Linked DNA regions of Rattus norvegicus. The protein of the gene in region 1 interacts with the protein of each later gene in a biochemical or structural test. Links are inferred from orthologs where the notes say so. Each region holds a gene or a part of one and is shown in the gene's direction. Other genes may lie near its edges.

Region 1 (4,270 bases):
TTTTCTTGTTTTGCCCTAAGGCTCTGTCTTTAACTTCCTAGTAGAGCCAGGGTGCAGGGACCAAACTGGGAGGACAACTGCTGCCACAACAGGTCTTGGGGACAGGGAGCATGCTGGCTTCTCAGCTCCAGTATACTGATCTTACAGAGAGTAGTGATGTCTGGATCCTTTCCCAGCTTGGCCTTACAATGCAGGCAGGTTACGTCTAGGACTTGGACGGTGCTCAGGACCACATGGCAAGACCTCAAGCTGTTTTTTAGTAGGTAATGGTATGAATTATAGATTATTGTTTCTTTGGATGGGAAGATGTCCCAGGAGCAAAGGCTAGACAAGCCTTCCTACTGTAATTCACTTGGAATCAGCACGCAGGTCATTGACCCCATTTGGTGTCAGGTCTTTGGTGAAGGTGTGGGTTGTAGCTGAGCTTCTGAGCAATCTCCTCCCCTTGGACCCTTGCAGAAGATGAAGGAGAGCAGCATTGATAACTTGATGAAGAGCCTGGACAAAAACAGCGACCAGGAGATTGACTTCAAGGAGTACTCTGTGTTCCTGACCACGCTGTGCATGGCCTACAATGACTTCTTCTTAGAGGACAACAAGTGACCAGCTACCCTCACCAGCAGCCCCTTGTCCTGACCTCTGCAGCCTCTTTAACTGCTCCTCCTAGGCCCCCTGCCCTTCTCTTTCTTCCAGATGGATTCTTCCAGCAGAGAAATAAAGCCTTATCCACAGCATGTGCTGGTTTTTAAGGTGGTTTGTCTCTCTTGGCTGAGGCAGGGGAGAACAGAGGATTTGGACCACTCAGCCTTAGGCCACACACACGTGGTCTGTGGGTACAGGAGCTGGGCTCTCGTTTTACTCCACTTGCTGTCCTTCATCGTGGACATTGTTGGAAGTGTCCTGGCTTTGCTCTGCACTCCTGTAAAATAACAAAGCTGCCCAGACAGCAAAGACGAAGAGCAAACAACAGAAAAGAGCGAGGAGGCCAGAGGGATGGGCTGTGGCTGTGGCGCAGTGATGGTCCGGCAGGTCTGACTTGGGGATAGCCCTCAGGAGACCTCCCTAGGAGCCCTAGTAAGGAAGGGAGTCTTAGCCCTTCTCTCCACCCTTCCCATTGCTCACTGAAGACTGATTTCAGGATGCTAATTCCTCCCCATGCCCCACCAACTTCCTCTTCTTAAGACTTTTTTTTTTTCCAGGAGAAAATGTTGAAAACTTTTTACTTGAGATGAGTAAGTAACTAACGATGCTTCCTGGGCTTGGCTCCACTGTGTGCACATTAAGGCATAAGCTGCTCTGAGGATGAAATTCCAGGCAGTGAGTGGGAGGAGGCAAGTGATGTTGTTAGAAATTTATGGTTGGTGGGGGATGCTGTTTAAAATCTTTTAGACTGTGTTCCCCTTCTGTCTCCCTTTTGAGACATGGGTCTTATATAGGTTGGCTCAAAATTCTACCTCTTGGGATCAGCCTATCTCATCAAGATTTAGCCCAGTGGTGCTCAACCTGTGGAGACCCCTTTCACAGGAATTGCCTGAGACCATCTGAAAACACAGTATTTATGTCACGATTCATAACAGTAGCAAAAATATAGTTATGAAGCAGCAACGAAAATCACTTTATGGTTGGAGCGTCACCACAACATGAAGAATGTATTAATCCGCAGTATTAGAGAGGTCGAGAACCACTATCTTAGAGGATGCGGTAGACTGACTGCTTCCCCTCTCGCTTGGAGTTGACCTTGCCACTAGAGGGCAACAGCATCAGTATTGTTCCCAGTCCCCCTCACACTGATTCGAACTTTAAGGACACTGATCTCTGGCTGGTAGAGGGTTCAGCACACATACCAGAGTTACGAGTCACGTGCCAGAAGGGCAAACTGAACACGGAATTAGAGGGAACTCGATGTCTCCGGCTTGCACTGGTCTTCTCTTGCACTAGAATCCTTCATCCTGCTCCCAGTCCGGGACGTCCAGGCAACAAGGGCGTGGAAAGTGAGGGGGCTGGGAGGTGTGTTTGCCTTGCCTCAGGCGCTGGGTGGGGTTGGGGCGTGCCAGCACTCCCTGGGCGGGCCTCACCGATGCTGGCCACTATAAGGCCAGCCAGACTGCGACACAGTCCATCCCCTCGACCACTCTTTTGGCGCTTCATTGTCGACGTGTGGTGAGCTCTCACTGGGGCGTCCCTCTAAGATCTGTCCACTCCTGGTCTAGGGGTTAAGCCTTTCCTGCCCTAGTCAGCCTCTGCGGGCTCCATGGGTGGAATGCACTGGGATCCAAGTTTTCGGAGCCCAGGGAAGCAGGGAGAGCCATGGTCTGCTGGGCTGTACCAGACAAACCCCGAGGCTAAGGCATCCCCATGGGCGGCAACCTGAATCTGCTTTTCTGGGGTGCAGGAGGGTTTGCCCTGGGTGTGTCATCCTCGTCCCAGTGTGTGGCCCTGTCAGGAGGTTTCCAGGGGCAGCCTCCATTCTCTTCCTTGCTCAGTCATATGCTCCAGTTCTCTTGGAAGCCCTGGAGGACAGTGTTCACAGACCCCAAAGCCCCTTCCATTCTTAGACTCCTCACCTCAGTGGCCCTGGCTGCTACCTGTGTTGGCTTGAGGCTAGCTGCTTCAGGCAGGTAGTCTCCTGGCTCAGGGGATGGTGAGAGGACTCTCTGCTACCAGTAGCACTGAATAGCCCCTCTGTCAAACAGCTTCTAGCCCAGTGGTCAGTCATGGCATGCCCCCTGGATCAGGCCATCGGCCTTCTCGTGGCTATCTTCCACAAGTACTCTGGCAAGGAGGGTGACAAGCACACCCTGAGCAAGAAGGAGCTGAAGGAGCTGATCCAGAAGGAGCTCACCATTGGTGCTGTGAGTAGCCCCTGTCCGGGTTCCCCCTCCCACCTCTTGTCTGAGTAGCATTTAATCACAGTTCCTGATCTTACTTCCTGTGGAGGGATGCCTGTATGCTCCCATGCTGTCCTGTCCCCTGAGGGAGGAGCAGGGGCTGAGGAGAGTAAATCTAGGTAAACCCAATCTGAAGGTCCATCTTTGGTCACAATGAGCAGAGCTACTTGTGTGAGACAGGGCTTCCAGGGAAGGGGAAAGGAATCTAGGGTGTTGGCCACCACTGAGTATGGACTTCTCCTTTTAATGTATTAGAAGCTGCAGGATGCTGAAATTGCAAGGCTGATGGATGATCTGGACCGTAACAAGGATCAGGAAGTAAACTTCCAGGAGTATGTTGCCTTCCTGGGGGCCTTGGCTTTGATCTACAATGAAGCTCTGAAATAAAATGGGAAGGCAGAGATGCCTTCTGGGAGGCTATCCCAGTCAAGTCCAGTGGGGGGGTAATTATACAATAAATATTTCGTTTTTGTTATGTCTACCCATGTGTCCTGGCTTCTCACTGATTTCTAGTTGCTTCCTGGCTTGCTGCTGAACCCACCGTCTAGTGGTCCTAGTCACAGTTAATCTCTGCGAGTTGTAGTTGAGTGACCCACCCAGACAAGGAATCTTTATGGGTATTAGAAGAGGTACCCCCTCTAGGCAAAGTCACTTTAAACAAAGGCTTAATCAGGTGATCTCCAGGAGAAAGGGGCCCCTAGAAGCAGGGCTGCAATAGTCCCAGCAGTCCCCCAGAAGACACACTTTGGTCTGGGTGTGGTGAAATGGGGTGGGGGTTGGGAGGAGTAGATGGGCCCTGATATTGGGCAATCCAACTTCTCTCTGTGTGTTTGTGCGTTATATGAGGGAGGGATGGGGAGAGGTACATCTGAGGTGACCAGGGACACAGGACGACTGAGTTTTCTGTAGCTGCCTCTGTTCCAGTTGGAGGTAGAGGAGGCTTTAGGAGACTGTCCTTAGTATCACGTATGTACGGGGTCTTTTTTGTTAGGTGGTAACTCAAGGAGCTGGCAGCTCCATGAACACGGGACTCATGAGTGCTCACAAACAGGGCAGGGGTGGGGTCCTTAGACATGCCAAATGTGGCTTTAGGCCTTTCTGTCAATATTGACCCAGCCTATCCCTGCAGAATGACTCATAAGACTACTTCCCCGGAACCCAGTTGAGTCCTCAGTCCCTATCAGAGTAGATGGCCAACTGAGTTACTGTCTACTGTGTGCATTAGCAGTTAAATCTAGGTGTGGAGAAAGCTGTCATGATGTGTCTGAGTGTCATGGAGACAGCATTTGCTGCTATTCCTTCCAGGAAAGCCTAACTCAAGTTGGGCAACACCCTGGCCAAGACCAAAGGTGGAAAGAGCTGGACTTCATGTGGAGACCATA
Region 2 (5,087 bases), on another chromosome or scaffold:
GTGCCTGACTTGTCATTTAATGAACGTTTGTGTGAGAAATTTACGCATATTGCGTGTTTAATGTAATTACTTTAATTTGTGAAGTGTAATTTAGCAGCATTTTCCTTGACTTGCTGATTCTAATAGCTTCCCTAGGCATCTGTAAGCTGATAGCAGATTGCTTGACCACCCAACGGATACTGTTTGTTTTCTGTCTTGTTTTCCTGTATGTTATAGACGTCTCCATGCTGTCAGAGTTAAAGTAATTTGAAAAGCGGTTTTACACTGGGGTTTATTAATCCGGGCTCCTACAACTAGAAGAATTTCTCCACATTTTATGTGGGATCACTTAATCCAAACCCTGATGAAAATAAACAATATCTGAACTGTTTGTTAAGAGAAGGCAATGGAAAAGTCTGCTATTGAAAGACCCTCGCTCTAGTCTCGGGATGGCGCACCCCAGGAAACACGAGGGACCGGCTTGACGTAAAAGCAAGAGGCCGTTTAATAATAACGGAGCTCCGGGCCAACACGTGTCTCACGCAGGAGACAGAGGAGTCAACCCCAAAACTCAAAAGTCAGGGGTTTATATAGGGAAAGCTAGGGGGTTTTGGCGCGGTTACACACAATTGGCTCATTCAAACATAGCAGTGAGATTACAACACAGCAGAAGAGTACTTGCTAGAAGTCAGGGGCTTCTCAGGGTCTGGAGGACATCTGGTTAAAGTAGAACTCTGAGTAAGCTGGGGGAGATGTCCTCCTGCCAGATGGTTCATGAGTCAATCCTGATAACTCGGGCTGGTTCCTGCATTCCTTTTCTTTATCTTTATGGTCTGTCAGTCCTAGCAGCAGGGCGGGCCCCGTCATGCCTGGATTTGTTTCTTATAGTTTTTGGCTCTGAGTCTGTGAATTTTATAACTTATTCTTTTAATATCCTTTCACTATCAAGAGCTCTCAAAGGCAAGGGAGAATGAAGATTTCGGCCACTTGAAAATGTGCCGCCTTCCCACAACTGCGACTAGGAGACTGCCAGGTAGCCCGTGCAGCCTTCCTACAGTCCCACGAGAGGGCGCCACGTCAAAGGTGCTAGACACAGGACGTCTCCGGAGACCCAATGCCCACTTAAAAGCCAGTGTTCTCTTCAGGAGCCTTCCTCCCTTAACAAATCTGTCCCCTCCCCCCCCCCCTTTTTTTTTAATCTTAATTGTGTTTCTTTGGGAGTGCTCTTTTGTTCTCTCATAACACCTCACAGGAACCGAAGACAAAATGGCAGCCTGGCTAGCTTAGCATCCTACCCGCGGAAGCAGTCCTTCTCTAGACACTTCCTATTGGGTCCCCAAACCTTTGAAGGTTAGTTCCGGAGCTAAATCAGGCCGCGATTGCGAGCTGCGACTGCGCAGCCAGGCTATGTCGGCGCGGAATGACGTCTCAGTCACTGGGGCGGAAGAAGGATGGTTTGACGCTTCTAGAGCACACGTTCGCTCGCGAGAATTGAACGTTGCTAAGCGACCTCCCTGGGGGCGGGCCAGGACTCGGCGGGGCGGAGCTGGGCGGGGCCTCGCGGGCTGGTGGTGGAGCCTCGCGAAGGTTCCAGAGCCGTCTCGTGCGGAGGGCGGGCCGCCGAGTCCCGCCGGGTCGGTGTAGCTCGCTGCCGACGCTGCGACGCTCGTGGGTGCCGTGTTCGGCTTTTCCTGTCTACTTCAGTGCACCGCTGCAGCTCCGGCCTCGGGTCTGACGCGCCACAGCATGGCTTCCGCTTTGGAGGAGGTAGGGGTCGGCCTGGACCCACCGGCTCGCACCGCCCGGTGGCCGCTGTTTTCCCGGGGCTGGTATCCTCAGCTCTTCCCCAGTCGCGGGCCCACGGCCTCCGCGCTGCCACCTGCCTGGACCCCGAGCGTCCGGGCCACGGCAGGAAGGTCGGGGGTGTGTCTGGATCCCAGTTTTTGGCGCGGATCGTGGTAGGCTCTCGGGTGAAGGTCCCCTCTCTATTGCTTGAGCTCTTCTTGGCTCCCGGTTACCGGCTAGGGAACAGGAACCTTCCTTAAATTAAAGCTCATTGCAAAAGCTCTGAGCTCCGGGCCCGGGGCAATTGGAAGGAATCCCTTTGCCTGCACGACTAGCCACGGTGCCACATTCATTCCATATACATTCGGTGTGTTATTTCTGAACGCCTTGGGCAGTGCTTGCGGTTTTAGTTTTTATTGAGCAGCGCCAGTGGAGGAGCTGCAGGCCTTACACATGCTGGGGAAGCGCTCTACCATTGCGTTACACCCCCAATCTTTATAAAAGCATTTAAAAGAAATTATTGGTAATTTAGCTGTGGGAAATTGCGTGGCGTATGGTTTTAGGTTTGTAAAAAGTGAACGTGGATGACTTTTTGGATTCTTAAGTTTTACTCAGCTATATAACAAGAGTAATTGAATTGCCGGGTTTTGGCCTATATCGGTTTTAATGTGATTGATATATTGTGTTCACAGACACGTTGGCTATCTGTTAAGATTTGCTTTTCGGAAATTTCCCCCTCACTTTGAAAAGCAAGACATCGGCTTTAAACACATAAAAATTAGGAAGTTAATGTTAAAGTATTAACATGGGTATCTTGCAACAAGTAAGTAGACTCGGGCACCATGTGCTCTGGGAGAGTGGAGAGTGGCTTAACAGTTGTGCGCACGGAGGTGTAGTTTGTTATTGTCTCCAAAGGAAGAAACTTTAGACTTGGAGATATGAATATAGGGGCACGTTTTTCTTTTGAGATAAAGTTCATCTTATTCAATCATATTAAGGTGTATAATTCAACTTTTTCGGTCGTACACCCATCACTGTTACCTAGTCGCAGAATATTTTTATTTCCTCAAGTAGAAATCCATTGTAGGTACTCCGTCCAGCTGGATTGGAGCCTTCCGTGCTCATCCGTGGTATCAGAAGAGCATTCCTTTTTATGATTGAATAGTATTCCATTGTACAGGTACAATTCGTACTCATCTGCTGGCACACACGTGTTTCTCCATCTTGACGAATGTGAATTCGAGTAAACAAGTTTTGTTTTGTGGGCATGTTTTTAGTCCCTGTAGTTGCCAAATAATAAGAGAAAGCTTTGGAAGAAGTTACCATTCCCACAAGAATTGCACAAAGGTACCATTTCTACACATTCACTAACATTGTTATTTTCTTGGGTGGTTTTTGTTCATGTGATACCATCCAAGTGAGTGTGTAATTCCGCCTTGTGGATTGCTGTGTATCTTTGTAGATGTGTGTGTCCAGTTCCATCCATGTTTTTGTGGAGAGAAGTTGAGTTCTTACATTTTGTGCAGTTGGGTGGGAGAAGGTCTCACTAAGTACCCATGGCTTGGTCTTAAGAGACACCCACCCCTGCCTCCAGAGTGGTAGACCTAAAGGCATGTGCCACCAGACCAGACCAAGCCCCTATTTAACAACTAGGAAACAGAATCAAAGGGGGATACATGTTTATATGTAGAAAACAAATGCATGCCAAGAAGACAAGAAAAAGTGGACAGGAAACTGATCCTTGGCACCTTAAAGTTTGGATGCAGAACCTGCACTGTCCATGGTCTCAGGGCTGTGAATACAAAAGTCAAGCAATGGTTCTTCTGTAAGTCACTTCAGTTGATAGCTTACTCAAGAGTCCATTAGAGCAAAAAGGGGCCGTAAAGACGACATTCGAATTCTGCCATGAGTCAGCTAGAAAAAAGGATTCCCATTCCAGTCAAAAGCAAAAACTCTTAACCTTCTCCGTTAGTTAGGTAAGTCTATTCTAGGAATAAGTATTTGCTTTACTTTTAATATTTTTATTATGTTGATATATAGAATCCACATAAATTTTGAAACCACTGAAAAACATTGAATGAAACATCTTGATTCTAAATTCAAAAGATGAGTGTGCAGTTTTGGATCTCAGAGTCAAGTTTCCTTGGGATTGTGGACAGGGTTTCACTGCTGTGCTTTTTATAAGCTGTTATTAGTACAGCAAATGAGATCATAAAGGCCACAGAGTAATGAGCTATTATAATAACTAGCATTTAAAAGATTTTAAAATTCTTTTATTTCTTGAGAGTATAATAAACTAAATCATTTCCCCCTTTCTCACTCCAAACCCTCCTCCCATTTGCACTCTTTCAATATGAAACTACGAAAGTTTCTCTGTCCCTTTTCTTCCCTCATTGTTGCATACATAGTCTCTGTAGTGTTACTTGTAGGGAAGCTAACAGGGCTGACCATTTGGTACTAATTGTCCAATTGGTGTGCTTTTCCTTGGGGAAGACTTTCTCCTGCCCTCAGCCTGTCTTTGGGGCCAGTCCTTGTGTAGAATTGTGACTTCCTGGGCTTTCCTTGTCCACAATAGCGTGTCTATTTTTGTTCAGCTCAAGTTTAGGCATTCATGTCAAGATTTTTTGGGTGGATGTAACTTCTAATTACTAGGAGTCACAATCTCAGAACAGGCTCCTAGATCCTCTGGTTCTTAAAATCTACCATTTCCACAAGAATTGCACAAAAGGTACCATTTCTCCACATGGTAACATTTGTAATTTTCTGCAGTTATCTGAGCCTCTCAGACCTTAGGTGAAGGAGTTATGCTGCAAATACCTCCATTGGGACTGGGCTCTGCATTTTGATTGTGCTTTTCTGTAATGGACTCCTATCAGTTGTGAATGGAGCATTTAAGGGTTCTTAATATTAAACTTTTTATTTAGGATGAAGGTATAAAGTAAGGTGGTTGTTTTTGTGGTCAGGTTACCAAGGCAAAAAATTTTAAGCATTTACTCACCGTTAGGTCAGAGGATAATTGAGGAAATATTTAAGCCCATTGATTTTTGTGTCTACCTGTATACCACGTGTATGGAAGTGCATATGGAGGCAAGAAGAGATCATCAGATACGTGGGAAGTAGAATTACAAAGATTGTGAGCTGCCTGATGCTGGTGCTGGGAGCTAAACTGTCCTTTGGCATGGGCTCTCAGGCCCAGCCCAATGGTTTTCTAGCATTGTCTTCAGTGAAGTTCCACGTTGCATGTCAGTCTCTAAAAGGTAGAGGACTTACCTAATGTATTGGCATGACAAGAAAACAACAGATTTATTTGCAAAGACCAGTTT
Region 3 (5,286 bases), on another chromosome or scaffold:
AGGTGTCATCCACAACAGAAACTGATCTTAGTCTTCTAGAGGAAGTTCAAGATGGTGTCAGTGTCTTCAGTTCCTGTTAAGAGACCCTTTTGTGAGTTATAGTGTTGGGAGGGTTTGGGACACTGACCTGGGACACTGATTATGACCTCATCCAACCCTTACTAGTCTGTGGAGATCTCATCTTCACTGCGATCAAAGTAGAGGTTATAGTCTCAGAGTCTTAAGCATCTCTAGTCTCCCTCCAGGCCCTCTAGCTGCACTTTTCCCTGTCCTCCCACAAGGGCTCACTCCAAGGCTTCAGACTGCTGTAAAGATTGTTGTCTGAGTTCCCAGACTGCTGGCTGCCTGGCTGTGGGAATTAGTTTTGACCATGTTCAAGCCTCTTAATTTGGGGTCTAGAACTGGATAGCCACTCAGTTTTAAAGTATTGATTAAAAGCATTTCAAACCTTTCTGAATGCCCAAATCTACAGATCAGCTAATGCCTCAAGCCCTCATTCTCCAAAGTAATATGTCAAGGTCTGCATTGGACCAGCTCCCCCACCCCAATGCAGCTTCCTTCTGCCAATCATACCAATGCTGCTTTCACTGCACATGGACCAAGCCAAGCACAGACAAGTTTATTCCTTTACTGGAGCACTCTCCCCTTCATCTGTCCCTAGCTTGAAGTTTGCACACTCCAAGGACGCCTTAGTTTGTCCAGATCTATTAAACCCATTTTTTCCTGTGCCCAAATTGTAATTAGACTGCCAGCATGGGAAATACTTTGCACCTTCTCTGTGTTCCGTGTGACCCTTCTAACCCCTTAACTGTTCTCCTTAAGGCCAGTTTTAGAAATTAACCTCTCGGGGTTGGGGATTTAGCTCAGTGGTAGAGCGCTTGCCTAGGAAGCGCAAGGCCCTGGGTTCGGTCCCCAGCTCCAAAAAAAAGAACCAAAAAAAAAAAAAAAAAAAAAAAAAAAGAAATTAACCTCTCAATGATTCCTTTCTTGAAAGATATAGGAAAACAAACAAAAAAACCACTCTTCTAATTTCTTTCATAAACTGAAAAGCAGCACAGAAAGCGTTTAACTTTATTCTTATGTGCATCTGCATTCATACTGCACAGGCCACCTGCATGAGTTCTAAACCCTTTTACAGACTGGTACCGGAATCTTTGTGAAGTTCCAAGCCCACACGGTTGAAGCTTCCCATGTATGCGGCAGCCTGGAATTTACCCTCCTGGTTGATTGTTTTTTCAAAAGAACAAGAGCATGGTACCAGACAGCAGACTTTCCTACTCCCTCCCCACCCCCGCGGTCCAACTACCGCCGCCCCGCAAAACCGACTTAAGTTGAATGTGTATACGCACACACAGAGGCAAGAACAGACCGCCTACACGTTGCTCCCGCTTAGAAACAGCCCCTAGGAAGGCCCCGCCCCACATCTTACCCCGCCCACTTGAAGTCTCCGCCCTGCCCCGCAGCTCGCTTCTCCTTCCCTCCTAGAGGCTCTCCACTGCCACCACCACTTCAGTTAGAGGGACCGGTACGTTCAGCCGGAGTGGACTCTTCTCTCTCACACAGGAACGGGGGAATTAAGTGCAACCTAGTGACATTTCTAATATAATTATAATATGCCACAGAGCGTGTCACCAGAGCCTGACCCGGTCCCATGCTCGTGGCCCCGCCTACAGACCGTACACGGAGGCCCCGCCCTTCACGTCATGGAACCTGCAGACTCTGCTGCCTGGAGGCTCCGCCCCGTTGGTCTTCTCCGCGTGAGGGGCGGGGCTGCGACTGCGCGCTCGCGCGCCGGGCGGCTTCCGCAGCGGCTGTTGGCCGTTAGCGCAGCTTGGGTGGTTGTCTTGGAGAAGCAAGATGGCGGCTACTACCGCCGCGGTGGTGGCTGAGGAGGACACGGAGCTGCGCGACCTGCTGGTGCAGACGCTGGAGAACAGCGGCGTGCTGAATCGTATCAAGGTGCGGCGGAGCGGCTACCAGGGAGGAAGGGCGCGGGACGCGGGCGCGGGGCAGTCACGCGGCCATGGCGCCTGGGCCCGAGCTCGTGGGCCGGGTGTGGAGCACACAGGCCCGTGGCCTTCCCTCTCTCGCTGCACACTCCCTCGTGCCTGTCCCTGTACTTTCAGGTCGCAAAACTGACTTATAACTTGTGGGCTTTTTTTTTTTGAAGGCTGAACTCAGAGCGGCTGTGTTTTTAGCACTAGAAGAACAAGAAAAAGTAGAGGTAAGAGCCCCAGACCTTAACGCCGTACCTCTTAACGCCTGGTTTCTAATAAATGAAAAGCCATTCTGAAATAGTTCAGTGACTAACGTTACGGGGATGGTTCTGAATGGTTAAAAGTTACTACACTCTGAAAGTATTAAGGGTTGTACTGTGGAACCTTTTCCCAAATTCTGATTGGTTGGATAAAAATCTGACCATTACCTTAAAAATATCTCTGTTCTTGTGTCCCCGTCCCCCCCTCCCCCACCACCACACACCAAAAAAACCCTAGTAATCCCTGAATGTTTTGTAACTTGGCTTTTCTGCCTACCCCAGCTCCCAGCAACCATCCTGAGTGTGTCCTGGAACTCCCTGTCAGTAAGAATCACAGGATAATCAAAGTCTTCCTGTGCGACAGATCTCCTCCATCCTTCTATGACCTGTATACCTACCCGCTCTTAACTTCCTCCTTCTCATCCTTACTGCTAATTTTTGACTAGGCTAGGTTCCATTGTCCACGCCTTGGAATCTAGGCTAGGTTCTATTGTCTACACCTTGGAATCTAGGCTAGGTTCCATTGTCCACACCTTGGAATCCCATATTTCTTTGCTTTCTAGTCAAACTGTAATGATCATTTGATCCTCCAGCTCACCTAGCCGCTACACCATCTGACAGTAACCCCTCTCTCATTTTTGGAAATGTTTTGACCTCGGGAAGCTTTCTCTATGTGTTTTCCTTTGCATACTCCTTGGTTTCTTTAACAGGATCTTGTTCCTGCGTACCACAGTCCACGTACTTATTCTGCAGCTTCCCTGTGGTAACTTTGTCTAGTGTCTGTACTACATAGTTCCCTTTCCCAGCTTCAGACCTGTTCATTAGACTGAGTAACAGACTGATGTCCCCGAGTTTTCCAGACCTGCTTCACCCATACTCCATCGTCTCCTGGCAGTGTCTGCCTGCCCCTCTTGGCTTAGTTACAGCTTTTCCAGAGCGACACTTGCTACTCTCCACCTGTCATTGGTGCCCTCATCATATGTCTCAGGTCTTCATCCGTCCTGGGTTGGCCATTTGTAGTACATGCCTGATTCTGTTCTTCTGTTCTCCTTGACTAGTTCAGTTAACTCGGTGTCCTAGATTCTTCACACTATGTACTTCTGTGATTTTTCTCCCTCTTTAACTTGAGGTATAATTGTTTGTGGAAATGCACACCTTAAAGTCAGATTTGATAAGCTATTTACGGAATGTGAGGAACACAAGAAAGAAAATACAGGCCCAACCCTTTGAGTTTCCTTCCGCAGCATCTCAGTTATTTTCAGAGCTATGCAAATGGGAACGTGTAAAATGCACTTAGGTCTGATAGTCAGCAGAATGCTGCAGTGTATCCTATTCTTCCACGTAGTCCTCATTTCAAGAATGGTGATCGTTGCTCTAGTCACTGAGCGGATAGTCTTCATTTGCCTAGCCACCCTCCCTTTGATACCACATTGAGTTGTCCCTGCTTTTCCCTTGAGGATAATGCTGCTGTGAATGGTCATGTCCAAATCTTTGCTGGGACCTGATACTGATCTTGAGAAAATGCTTGAGGGTGGAAGGACTGGCTCACCTGCTGGAGATAATGTTAACCTAAAAATGAACAAACCTTCCAACTGTTTTCCACAGTGCCCATGCATTTAGTATTTCCATTCACAAGATGTGAGGCTGATTAAGGACCCCATCATGTGTTACCTATGTTATCCTCACTGTCAACAGTTACCACATTTCTATTTGCAAGAAGGATAGTTTACTACATTTGTTCAGAGCTATGGCCATACAAAGTCATCTCATACACTACTGATTAGTTTGGAATTGCAAATGGTAGCTATCTAAGATTATAAATTTCAAATTGTATGTACTTGAAATATAAACAGTTAAAAGTAAATCTAATGACACACATGTTTTTAAATAAACCATTACAAAAGCAGTGTAATTATAACATGTTGAAGGGCTTGTGGTAGACAATTGTAGGGTGCCTGCCCATCATGTAAAAGGTCTTGAGTCTAATCTCCTGCAGTGTAAAAAAGTGTTTTAAAGGTTGAAATAAATGTCTTCATATACAGATTGGTTTCCTTAACTTGAAAAGTTACTAAATAGCACAAAGTAAGTCCTATGCTAAATAAATAGTTGTGAGATGGATCATAAAACCATGATTTTGTGAATATAAATGTATGTATTTTTTTTTCTTTTCTTTTTTTTCGGAGCTGGGGACCGAACCCAGGGCCTTGCACTTGCTAGTCAAGCGCTCTACCACTGAGCTAAATCCCCAACCCCAAATGTATGTATTCTTTATATCTTTGCCAAAATAAACGTGACTGTTGATACTTAGCTCCGCCTGCTCTCCATTCTGCAGGGCATGCTCTCCGCTCTTCTTTTTTTCACCTACTGACAGTAAAGTTGGGCTGTGGGAACGAGAGAACTTTAATGCACACTTTTTAGTTATTTTAGGGTAAACATATAGCACATGTAAACACTTTATAAACATAAATATTTCTTTTTATTTTCAACAGAACAAAACTCCGTTGGTTAATGAGAGCTTGAAAAAGTTTTTAAATACAAAAGATGGTAAGATAATGTTTATCTCTGAGCTTTACAATTTTGTCAGTATTTGTGGGAAGAGTAGTCTCACTCTGACTCATGTTGACTCTAGTCCTCAGGGATCTTCCTGCCTGATGCTGACTTTACCCAGGAGCAGACCACCATGCCTAGCTTCAAGCTGCCTTAGTAAGCATCTGGACAGTGGGGAGTTGTTGGCTAAAGCAGACGTAGGAGAATAGCAAGAAAACACTAGAATCCGTTTATCAAACACTACACGGCCTCAAAGCTGCAGATTGATGATCCAAATACAAAAGTAGAAACATGGGGATTTTCATACTTAAGCAAATTAGTCACAGGGGAAATATATGATTTTAAAACCTTCAAAACCTAATTTTTTCCCATAGAATGCTTCGGTTCACAAGGAAAATCGGGAGTTCTTTGGGCTCTGTTCATCATGTCTTTTTCTTTTCCCTTGGTTTTTACAGGTCGTTTAGTGGCTAGTCTCGTAGCAG

The links.
Region 2: the proteins of S100a6 (region 1) and Cacybp are reported together in a solved structure, tested with the Homo sapiens proteins (2 studies listed by BioGRID and IntAct, with this or other methods). The link is inferred for Rattus norvegicus from reciprocal best matches to the Homo sapiens genes S100A6 and CACYBP.
Region 3: the proteins of S100a6 (region 1) and Cep43 form a complex in vitro, tested with the Homo sapiens proteins (2 studies listed by BioGRID and IntAct, with this or other methods). The link is inferred for Rattus norvegicus from reciprocal best matches to the Homo sapiens genes S100A6 and CEP43.

The regions. Positions count from the first base shown.
Region 1 is NC_086020.1:178,396,395-178,400,664, forward strand, and holds S100a6 (protein S100-A6), read left to right. Parts: upstream 1-2,142; 5' UTR 2,143-2,160; intron 2,161-2,693; 5' UTR 2,694-2,714; coding exon 2,715-2,852; intron 2,853-3,143; coding exon 3,144-3,275; 3' UTR 3,276-3,368; downstream 3,369-4,270. Other genes in the region: S100a5 (protein S100-A5), read left to right, coding at 460-603. UniProt on the Homo sapiens protein: May function as calcium sensor and modulator, contributing to cellular calcium signaling.
Region 2 is NC_086031.1:74,977,727-74,982,813, reverse strand, and holds the start of Cacybp (calcyclin-binding protein), read left to right. Parts: upstream 1-1,574; 5' UTR 1,575-1,725; coding exon 1,726-1,746; exon of another isoform or gene 1,747-1,937; intron 1,938-5,087. UniProt on the Homo sapiens protein: May be involved in calcium-dependent ubiquitination and subsequent proteasomal degradation of target proteins. Probably serves as a molecular bridge in ubiquitin E3 complexes. Participates in the ubiquitin-mediated degradation of beta-catenin (CTNNB1).
Region 3 is NC_086019.1:55,107,997-55,113,282, reverse strand, and holds the start of Cep43 (centrosomal protein 43), read left to right. Parts: upstream 1-1,773; 5' UTR 1,774-1,857; coding exon 1,858-1,959; exon of another isoform or gene 1,960-2,170; coding exon 2,171-2,224; intron 2,225-2,534; exon of another isoform or gene 2,535-3,135; intron 3,136-4,746; coding exon 4,747-4,801; intron 4,802-5,259; coding exon 5,260-5,286. UniProt on the Homo sapiens protein: Required for anchoring microtubules to the centrosomes. Required for ciliation.